Linked DNA regions of Arabidopsis thaliana. The protein of the gene in region 2 purifies or fractionates together with the protein of the main gene of each other region. This does not show direct contact. Each region holds a gene or a part of one and is shown on either strand. Other genes may lie near its edges.

Region 1 (6,328 bases), on a different chromosome or scaffold from region 2:
AATGATGAGTATTGGAGTGCTGAACATAGAGTGGTCGTGAATACAAGCAAAGAGAGATTCTCAATACCATTCTTCTTCTTCCCATCACATGAAGCCAATATTGAGCCATTGGAGGAGCTTATAAGTGAGGAAAACCCGCCTTGTTATAAAAAGTACAATTGGGGAAAGTTCTTTGTTTCAAGAAACAGAAGTGATTTCAAGAAACTCGAGGTTGAGAATATCCAGATTGATCACTTCAAGGCTTAGTTAATCACATTATAATTAAACCTTATGTTGATTTCTATTCGTTCTTTTTATATAAGTTAGCCAAGTTCATATTTCCCAAAATGCACGCGAGATTTTACATGTTTATGTTTAAAATAAACGGTCATCAGAATGTTGTGTCATTTGCGATCTTCGTCATTTTTCATTTCCAAATATACGTAGACTGACCTAATGTTGATAAATGCGATAGTTCTTAATTTCACATGTTTAAAATTCGAATTGGGATTTAAGAAAAATTCTCATCAAATATTTATCATTAGTGTATATATATCAGTGTTTTACATTTGTTAATCCTAAATAATAAACCGATCTGAAAAGTTGATAAATGCGTTGTCAAAAGACAAAATATACATCCAAACAAATCACGTGATTGCCTTCAACTTGCCACGGTTCAAAGATTTAACAAATCTTCTAAAACACCAACTTAACCCACGAATACACAAGCACAGAGTGGTGGTAAACATACAAGTTAATGAGTTATTCAAATGAGATTTTCAATATCATTCTTCTTCAGCCCGTCACAAGAAGCCAAGATTAAGCCATTAGAGGAAGTTTATAAACCGACAAAACCTGCTTAGATACAAAGAATACTAGCTAATGTGTTTCAACAAACTTCAAATTGACGATACGTTACATTCATATTAATCACTTCAGAGCTTGATTATTCAAATTATTTTTTCTACTGTGATACATATATACACACATGTTTTGCTTTTCTATGATTCTATCTACATTTTCATACCGTTGAATAATTTATGTATGAATTACGATGCAATTTCCTTCATTATGCTTGAATAAAATGCTTTTGGACATGCATGCGATATTGGATCTACTTTTGGATTCTATTTTTAAAAATCAGCGAGTTTGTTGCTTTGTAATTTTTAATTAGGCATCAAGAATTTCTAAAATGCACGCGAACTGGTGAAAAGAGGAATGTTTACGTTTACCCCTTTATTTTCTTACAGCTCATAAGGATACTGTCAGAAGACAGAACCAAGGCTCTCTGACTATAAATTGGAATCCATTTAAACATAATGTTATGACCAATGATGGCCAACGGTTAGCCCAAACTAATTAACTACAAGTCAAGTTCCAATATTCTAAGGAGAAATAATAGTATACTAAACATACATTAGAGAGGTTAAACTTCTTTTTGGATTTAAGTGTGTATGCATAGGCTATTTATTCTTAAGTATAACTATTAACTGTAGCTAGATTTATACAAGAAATACATAAAACTTTATGCATGTGAGGTAGCCATGAATATACGTACATGTTGCAATCGATTATACATGTTGTATTTGGATTTCTCTATACATGTTTTAACTTGTCATTCTCTAAGTATATACATACCATTAATACTGTGGGCATGAGTTTATGATAAGACTTTTCTTTTGGAGACCAGTTTTGTTTTCCTTTCCACCTATATTTGTCTATAGGCTTCACGGTACACTAGTTTACAAGTGTTTTTATATGTTCTAAATAAAATTGAGATTTTCCGGAACGGTATGATCTGTTTGCAAATAAGGACGTATATATAACAGTATCAAATATATTTGTTGTTATAAGGCAATAATATATTTTCTGAGATATTGCGTGTTACAAAAAAGAAATATTTGTTAAGAAAAAAAAAGATGGTCGAAAAAGGGGAGTAGGTGGGGGCGGTCGGCTTTTGATTAGTTAATAAAAGAAACCACACGAGTGACCTACCGATTCGACTCAACGAGTCTACCGAGCTAACACAGATTCAACTCGCTCGAGCTTCGTTTTATGACAAGTTGGTTTTTTTTTTTTTTTTTTAATTTTTTCATCTTCTTGGGTTTGGTTGGGTCACTCTTCAGGTCAGGTGTGTAAAAAAGAAAGAAAGAAAAGAGAGATTGTTGTGTTGTAACCCCTTTGACTAAAATCTAATGAACTTTTTTAACACAACAAAACTCCTTCAGATCTGAAAGGGTTCTTCTTCTCTCTTAGTCTCTTTGTCCTTTTATTCTCCGTCGTCGTTTCATGATCTGACTCTCTGGTCTTCTCTTCTTCTTCTTCTTCTTCTATTTTTTCTTACTTCGTCACTGTTGTGTCTGAACATGCCACGCCCTTTCTTCCATAAGTTGATTTTCTCATCCACTATCCAAGAAAAACGTCTGGTAACTTACTCTCTCTCTCTCTCTCTCTCTCTGTTCTCCTTCTCCTCATCTTTCAAAGTTTTGATTTTGTGCGAAATTGAGGGTTTTCAAGGTTTGGAATCTGGTGAACGAGTTTGTAAGATTATGCCTTGTGACACTCTTGCTTGATTTCTTACAATTCACTTGTATTGATTCTTTGTAAGAATCGAGTCAAGGTTGTGCTTTTATCTTCTTACTCTTCCCTGTTTTGGGTAATGAAAAGAAGTTCCATTTTTGAACTTTGTGTTGTCTTATTGGTCAAATGAGAATTTGTGGGTTTCCAATGGAAGTCTGCAAGACAGTTTCTTTTGGTCATTGGTTGTGTTTGGTGGGAAATTGGGTATTTGATGGTATATCTGTACTCTGACAGCATATTGTGTGTAGTTTGGGAATTTTTTTTTTTTTTTTGAGTGATTTGACTTTTGGAGGACGATTTGATTCTGTCAGATTGATCAAATTTCTTCTGAGGAGAAAAAGTTGAGATCTGTTTATGGTTTCTCTATTATAAATGTCTGTTTTGTTTACTCTATTTTGACTGTTTTCTCTGTTTGACTTAGGAATGTCTGAGATCTTAGACTCCTTATTGAGTATTGTGTGGCTTGTGAGTGAATCCCTAAAACTGAGTAGTTGACTTGTTTTGAAGGTCTCTATGTATTGTGCTTATGTTTTAAAGTTGTCTACTTTATTTGATACAGTGATTAGTCATCACTTGTACAGATTCCCCCAAGAGCATTGTTTTGAACAAATCCAAATTTGCTTAGCTCTCCATTTGGCATTTAAGTGACTAGATTTTCTCTGGAATAATGATTTCGATTAACACAGGCATTTATGTGGAACCAAGTTTGCAAATTATTAATGTGATAAGATCATAGGAGTCGTGTAATCAATCTATTCAGAGATAAATGTACCATTTTACATGTGTACTAATGGACTGTGTCTCCTTGTTGATGCCTTCTCTAAACTGAAATATGGCCTTTTGGTTTGTGTTTTTAAATTAGGTAAAGCCGTCGTTTCTTCAGCTACTGTGTTTATTGGATGTTTTTGCTGAAAAATGTCTGTTTCGATTTGATGTTCTCGCAATATTCTGTGCTGTTCTTATAGATATTGTGGACATTTATATCATTATATGCTTCTTTATATCTCATACCGGCATGCTTGTGCAGAGGGTCCCAGATAAGTTTGTGAGTAAATTCAAGGATGAGCTTTCGGTTGCTGTTGCACTCACAGTACCTGATGGTCATGTTTGGCGTGTAGGACTAAGGAAAGCTGACAACAAAATTTGGTTTCAAGATGGTTGGCAAGAGTTTGTTGACCGTTACTCCATTCGCATTGGTTATCTTTTGATTTTTAGATATGAAGGAAACTCTGCCTTCAGCGTCTACATTTTCAATTTATCCCACTCTGAGATCAATTACCATTCCACCGGTCTCATGGATTCCGCTCACAACCACTTCAAACGCGCCCGTTTGTTTGAAGACCTTGAAGATGAAGATGCCGAGGTCATCTTTCCTTCTTCTGTGTACCCATCACCACTTCCTGAGTCTACAGTACCAGCCAACAAAGGGTATGCTAGTTCAGCCATCCAAACCTTGTTCACTGGACCAGTTAAAGGTGATATTTATAACCAACTGATTCCCTTTATCTATCGCTGATTACGCGTCTTATCATTCTTTTGAGGTTGATGCTTGATATTTTCCTTATCTCCAGCTGAAGAGCCAACGCCAACCCCAAAAATACCTAAAAAGAGAGGGAGGAAGAAGAAAAATGCTGATCCTGGTAAGCACTTTTCCTCTTTGAAATGCTTCAGACTCGTTTTCAGAGGATTCACAGATTCTTCCTCATGATACATATATCCTTTTGATATTGTCCTTACAGAGGAAATAAACTCATCAGCTCCGCGAGATGATGATCCAGAGAACCGTTCAAAGTTCTACGAGAGTGCTTCTGCGAGAAAGAGAACCGTGACTGCAGAAGAAAGAGAGAGAGCCATCAATGCAGCCAAAACGTTCGAACCAACAAACCCTTTCTTCAGAGTGGTTCTGCGACCATCCTATCTATACAGAGGTTGCATCATGGTAATAAAAAAACATCTTAGGAAGACTTAATCTTATCGGTGTCTTCACTGATCTCTAAAAGAAGCCTTCTGTTTCTGTTTCTCTCAACAGTATCTTCCTTCTGGGTTTGCTGAGAAGTACCTAAGTGGGATCTCCGGGTTCATCAAAGTCCAGCTTGCGGAGAAACAATGGCCTGTTCGATGTCTCTACAAAGCCGGGAGAGCCAAATTCAGTCAAGGATGGTACGAATTCACTCTAGAGAACAACTTAGGAGAAGGAGACGTCTGTGTGTTTGAGCTGCTCAGAACCAGAGATTTCGTTTTGAAAGTGACAGCCTTTCGAGTCAACGAGTACGTCTGAACAAAGCATTATGGTGTGATCATTCTGGATTTGCAAGTACAATGTCGTGTAGGAGTATCTTAATTTAAAAACAACTAAAAAACTCTCTTCTGGTCTGTGTCATTATTGCGTCAGTGTCTCGTTTTTTCTCTCGGGTTTACTTTGTGTTATCGATGTGGATAAGTTGTTTTTACCTCATTATATATAACCTCTTGAGTGGAACTCAAATTGTTTGAGTAGAACAAACAAAGTTAGGGTTTAAGAAGAAGTCTGTAAATACCTAATCTCCATCAAATTTGAGTAGAAAGACAAACTGTTCTGGTGGAATACAAGGAGGGAACTTGAGATAACAAACTTAAGAATAGCCTTCAAGCCAACGTCTAGAATTTGATGAAGTTGTTGTTTGATCACCTCTGAGATAATTGGAAACCCTCTTCATGCAGTTTGCTTGAGGATACTGGTGAAAATGGGAGTATTGAAGGAAAATGCATATATAAGATTGTAGGTGGGAACTGTGGTAGCAGACATACAGAGGTGAAGCAGTAGATTACATAAGAAAACATCCAGATTCCCAAGGTGCAGGCACCCGCTCTTACAGCTACAAGGTACGGTACGTAATTGGCACATGCTTAACCATGTGATCACCACTAAATTGTGGTTGACTGTTAGATTGTCATGCTGATGTCAGGGGATGCATAATTGAAACGAGAGGAAGATGCAGTGCTGGTCAAAATCCCTGCAGTAAACTCTATGGATCTCTTGCTGATATGCGTGCGTTTATATTTGCATAACACTAGGTTAAACGACAATCAAGGAGTGTAGTATCATGAGTAAACATTTGATATGTTTCAACTTTGGATGCCCCAAAAAAACCACAAGCTTAGCTGTGGTTTTAAATAATTTGTGGGTTATGTTTTGGTCCAATATATGCTAGATTTATGCGAATGGGTAATAATGACTTCTAGTTGTTTGTACAACTTGAAACTTAGGTGAAAAAGAAACTCGGAGCTTCGAACATGAGTTACTTTTGTCATTGAATTAGAAATGGTTGAAGTTTTAGACACAACACTTGTTCTCTAGACATATACTGTACCAGACATGTTTTGATCATAAAACTTAAAAAAAAAAGAAAACCGTGTGTAAATCAAGCAAGGGACAACTACAATATTACAATCTTATTGAGATATCAGTTCAAAGGATTATTCAAAGAACATGAACAAGAAAATTTAAGGGCCTCTTCTACTTCCAGGTCGCTCGATCAGGGGATTATTCAAAAAATATGACAAAAATAAATTAAGAAAAACACAAAAAACTAATATTACATGTAGAGGTTGTTTTAGTCGTCACCTCTTTTTGTTTTGCCTCCTCCGGCTTGCTCGATTTGGACCAAACTTGGAGCGTAATTGAGAATAACTTGCGAAATTCCTTCAAGTGAATCTGTAGCCTCTCCCTCTCCAGAACCTACTTCATCGACTTTATTATCCTCCCCGAGAATGTATATCTTGTCGGTGA
Region 2 (4,723 bases):
AGTTACAGCAAGAGTGAAGTCGCAGTACATAACAAAAGGAACGATTGTTGGATCATAATCAAAGATAAAGTCTATGATATTACTTCTTATGTTGAAGAACATCCTGGTGGTGACGCTATTCTTGATCATGCTGGTGATGATTCTACTGATGGCTTCTTCGGACCTCAACACGCCACTCGTGTTTTCGACATGATTGAAGATTTCTACATCGGGGAACTTCATTAGTAAAAGCTTAAAGATTTGAGATTTGATTGAAGATTTGAGATTTCTTCTTAAGTAAGCTTAAAGATGGCTTTTTTAATTCTCTTCTCATTGAAGATTTGAGATTGCATTACCTTTTTGTCTTGCTAGTGTAACACTTCTTCTTCCATTGTATTGCCAAAGTTTCCTCCTTTCTCTTAATTTTCATGGTGAAGCTATGCTCTGTTTCAAGTGTTCTATGCTTAACTCTGTCTCAAGTGTTTTAAATCCATCAATTTTGAGTTTAATCTATTGAATTGCTTTATGGGAATCAATAGGATCATAAGAACATAACTTTTTTACTGCGATGAAGAATCATAATATTCGACAAAAAAGCATAACAGAGATCTCGAGTTCGAGTTCTATCTCTGATATAGACCTAAATCCCAAAGCATAAGCATTGACATCTGGTTAACCAAAACAAACTACCAACGTTCATATGATGAAGGTCTGCCTCCAGGACGGCTAGGACGGTCATAAGGACCTGGTCTGCTTCTGTAGGGTCTTCCCTCATCGCGTATCGGTCCCATATCTCCATATCTGTCACTTGTATCCCTTGCGTATCTGTCCCTGTCATAGCTTCTCTCTCTCCCGCGATATTCATTCTCAAGATGATGTTCAGGCATCCCATACCTATCACTCACAAAACGGTCTCCTGGTGGTGCGTATCTACATTGTTAATACATCAAAAGGTCATGACTTTCCTAAAAGAACACATGTTGGAACATTTATTTAGACCTGAGGACAAGAGCTACAAACCTCTCAAATGGATAGTGATCACGAGGCTCATACTTGTCTCCACTGTCGAAGCGGTCCCTGTAGCTATATCGTCCCCCATCTCGGTCACGGCGTCCATCCATGTAGCGGTCAAACTCACGCTCCCGCTCCCGCTCCCTCTCCAGATCACGATCTCCATAGCGATCTCGGTGTCCATCTATGTCTCCAATACGAGAGCGCATCGCAAGGGGAACTCTGAACCGTTCTCGATCGTCACCAGTTGATGGGCAATCTCGAGCCCAATGACCAGGGCGTCTGCATTTAAAGCACTCATCCTCGGTTCCCTTCCCTCGAGATGAATAGCCTCCACCTTTCTTTAATTGGTCTACATCTTCTCCACCAACTTTGGGCTCAGCTTTGTTCACGGAGATGACCTTATTGCCCAACTCCCTTCCATGCATGTGCTTAATTGCATCATCAGCTCCTCTGCGATCAGTGAATGTAATAAACCCAAAACCACGTGGACGCCCAGTATCTCTCCCCACCATAATCTACAAGTACGCAAAGAAGACCAATAATGTTATTAAAATGCATATTGAGCCAGGAACAAGATATATTACTAAGAACCAGATGTTACATTAGAGTTAAGAAATAAGCAGATGTATTACATTCCTATCTCTCATATAGCATGTCCTAGAAGTGGCAAACTCAGAACATTTACAAGCAAACAGAAGACGGTAGCAAGATTCACAAATTTACTTCATTTCAAGTCCTTAGAATCACACAACACAAAGTCAAACTACAGCTGCATACTTGTAGAAATACTAATCCACAAGAAGTATCACCACAACAATAATCCTAGCAAAACGATGTTGGAGATTAGCCTCTAGCCAACCATACTTTTAACCCTTACAACAGACCTGTTACCTCAAATCAGTTTCCCACAACAAATCCACAGGAATGCGTTTTCCATGCTAATTCCACTAAAAAAGAAGACTAATATTCTGATCAAGACCTAAAAAAGAAGACTAATATTCTGATCAAGACCATTTTTGACCAGAAACTTATCATCTTGGTGTATTGATAGACTACTTAGAGATGCTTACATGTGCCAATAACTGTACTTTTACAATTACAACAACTAGTGGCTCATGATGAATGAGTACAAGAAAACCATCTCAGTGACTACTAAAGCAGATACCACAGGCAAGAGAATAAAAGATGGTTAGTCCTGATTGGTGTCAAAACCACTGAAAAGAGAGCTCAGCTGCAATTTAATCATAATATCCAACAAAACACAGTGACGTCAAACCAAAATTACTGCACTGATGCTGAGACAAGAGCCATGATCTATCTCAAAACTCTTGCATTTCTAAACATACGGCTCTCAAACAGATTTTCAGATCAAGAGGAGGTTGAGATGCATGTTTACTTCCTAAGAAAGCTCTACTAATTCCTCGACTGCATCCTTCAACAAGTCAATAAACCTCAATATCTGTGTGTGCTCTTCTACAGAATAGATGAGTCTTAGGTTCATCAAACAAAACTATCCTACAATCTCAGAGGTATCATTCACTAAACACAGGTTTCAAAACGAGTCTCTGAGACTTCTGATCATAAAGTACGAGAATCGATACAAGACCTGACACTCAGTGATTTTCCCGTAGCGGTCAAAGGTACTCTCAAGCTGTCTCTCTGTGACATCCCACGATAACCCTCCCACGAAGATTCTGCTCTCAAGATTTCCATCGTTTTCTCTATCTTTCATTGTGAAACTCTCACTGAAACCAAAAACGCATAAACATAGTTAGCCCACAAAATCAAACTCGAAAAATCAAAGCGAAACTCCAACTCTTACTTAAACAACTCAAAAAAATTCTATTGAAACAAAGATTCGGGTCAATAAACTTGCTGAAATCCGAAGTAAGAAAAAGAAACCCTAGAAATTTCGATATGATAAACCCTAATTACTCACCGCTAATCCAAAGGTCAGACCTTTCTGCGGTTTTGGCGATTGGTGATGGACAATGAAATAACTGCAGAGGATTAACTTCAACTCAATAAGTATATTTATTGGGATAAAATGTTGTCCACTCAATGACTAAAACACCCTTATAAAAGTTACTTAATTTACAAAAATAACCTAAAAACCCTAAAACCCTTCTCTTTAGCAAAGCTTTCCCCTTTTCAGTCTCCAAGCTCTCTTCTGCGGAACTCACGGTACGAAAGTCTCCTCTTTTCTATTTACTTTAATCCGAAGTTTGCTCCTTTACTTTTGATTTGTTGGAGAATTTCGAATTCTAAATTTGGGTTTTGTCTCTGTAGAGTAAACACGAAGTAAAAATGATAAAGAGACGATTTTACAAGCTTGAGCATGGTGATAAAGACAGTGGATCCGATTCATCGTGCTTCTCTTCTGACTCTGATCCTGAGACGGAAGAATCAGAACAATCTGAAGAAGAAGACTCTGTTGCAGAAGTTTCCGAGGACGGTGATGATTCAGGAGATGATGAATCCCCAGGTTTGCTTCTTCAATTGAGCAATTATCTCTTTTAGTTCTCTTGTGATTGTACTCTCAGAGAACCTTTGGTAAAATCTTTGCTTATTCTCTGTTATAGCTGCTGGCGAAGACGCTGATGTTGATGATGGTGATGATAACTCTGATGCTGATGACTATGGTGGGACATTGGAGAAGATGTCAATGAATCGTTTTTTAGAAGAACCACCCGAAGAAGAGGAAGAGAACTATATTCTCGGTTGTATGATACAATCCAAATCGGTTTATAAATGCAGATATTGTCCAACCGTTGTTTGCTTGAATGAGAACACAATGCAAGCACATGTTTCATCAAAGGTAAATTAGGTAGCTTTGAATTAGCATTTGAGTGTTTGGTCCTTTTTGGAATCAAGTAGTAGATGATAAGCACGGGATTAGTTTTGAGCTTTTCCTCATCAGTCTTGTAGTTGATGAGATAGTATTTTTTGTCGTTTGACTCATTTCAGAAGCATGCTCGTATGGAGAAATTAGTGAAAGAAGGAAAGATTAGAACTGATGACGAAGAAGTTGACGATCTAGAGACAGCATCTCAGGTTACATTAGAGAATTTGCCAACGAGTGCTTTTTGTTTTGTCAATGAGTCCTAACCAAATTCTTGCACAAATCTTAAATGTAGGAGAAGGAGAAAAAAGGAAACAGAAGATCACAAAGACAGGGAAAGAGATCTCAAAAACAGGAAAAGGTAAATGTAGCTTGCTCAATACTGAAGCATTGTGACCATGGTTGGTTTGTTGGAAACCTAATTGATTCGTGTTTTCAATATAAACGTCTAGGATTCATTGACCAAAAATGGAGAAAACGAAGAAGTTGAAGATCCAGAGACGCCATCTCAGGTGAGATTTAAGACAATGCCATCAAATGCTTGTGTTAGTCCAATGAGTCCTAACCAAAGTCTTGCAAATATCCTAAATGTAGGAGAAGCAGATAAAAGGAAACAGAAGAGCTCGGAGAGAGCTTAGGAGATCACAAAAACAGGAAAAGGTAAAATTTGCCTGCTCTATAACCCTGTGACCATGGTTGACCTGTCAAAAACCTTATCTATTCGTTTCTTAATATGAACATCCAGGATTCATCGACCAAACATGGAGAAAACGAAGAGGTTGACAATTCAGGGACGCCATCTCAGGTTTTTCTTTTTGACGTTCGAGCAAATGTCAACAAGTGCTTTGTGTTCTTCCCATGAGTCATTTACTCAACCAAATTCTTGCA

What was found.
Region 1: the proteins of AtRZ-1b (region 2) and VRN1 fractionate together in Arabidopsis thaliana (co-fractionation; one large-scale study listed by BioGRID). This does not show direct contact.

What each region holds. Positions count from the first base shown.
Region 1 is NC_003074.8:6,547,586-6,553,913, reverse strand, and holds VRN1 (AP2/B3-like transcriptional factor family protein), read left to right. Parts: upstream 1-1,879; 5' UTR 1,880-2,345; coding exon 2,346-2,405; intron 2,406-3,586; coding exon 3,587-4,034; intron 4,035-4,130; coding exon 4,131-4,199; intron 4,200-4,298; coding exon 4,299-4,498; intron 4,499-4,588; coding exon 4,589-4,827; coding exon of another isoform or gene 4,828-4,837; exon of another isoform or gene 4,838-5,149; intron 5,150-5,259; coding exon 5,260-5,362; 3' UTR 5,363-5,421; intron 5,422-5,504; 3' UTR 5,505-5,787; downstream 5,788-6,328. Other genes in the region: AT3G19000 (2-oxoglutarate (2OG) and Fe(II)-dependent oxygenase superfamily protein), read left to right, coding at 1-246; ETP1 (EIN2 targeting protein1), read right to left, coding at 6,153-6,328. UniProt on the Arabidopsis thaliana protein: Essential protein. Involved in the regulation of vernalization. Acts as a transcriptional repressor of FLC, a major target of the vernalization pathway. Binds DNA in vitro in a non-sequence-specific manner.
Region 2 is NC_003070.9:22,338,091-22,342,813, reverse strand, and holds AtRZ-1b (RNA-binding (RRM/RBD/RNP motifs) family protein with retrovirus zinc finger-like domain-containing protein), read right to left. Parts: upstream 3,006-4,723; 5' UTR 2,933-3,005; intron 2,928-2,932; exon of another isoform or gene 2,816-2,927; intron 2,739-2,815; 5' UTR 2,726-2,738; coding exon 2,600-2,725; exon of another isoform or gene 1,641-2,599; coding exon of another isoform or gene 1,626-1,640; exon of another isoform or gene 1,595-1,625; intron 1,509-1,594; coding exon 1,000-1,508; intron 910-999; coding exon 666-909; 3' UTR 517-665; downstream 1-516. Other genes in the region: CB5LP (cytochrome B5-like protein), read left to right, coding at 1-225; AT1G60640 (stress response protein), read left to right, coding at 3,301-3,478, 3,576-3,811, 3,961-4,047, 4,131-4,196, 4,288-4,347, 4,430-4,495, 4,581-4,640. UniProt on the Arabidopsis thaliana protein: Binds RNA and DNA sequences non-specifically. May be involved in tolerance to cold stress.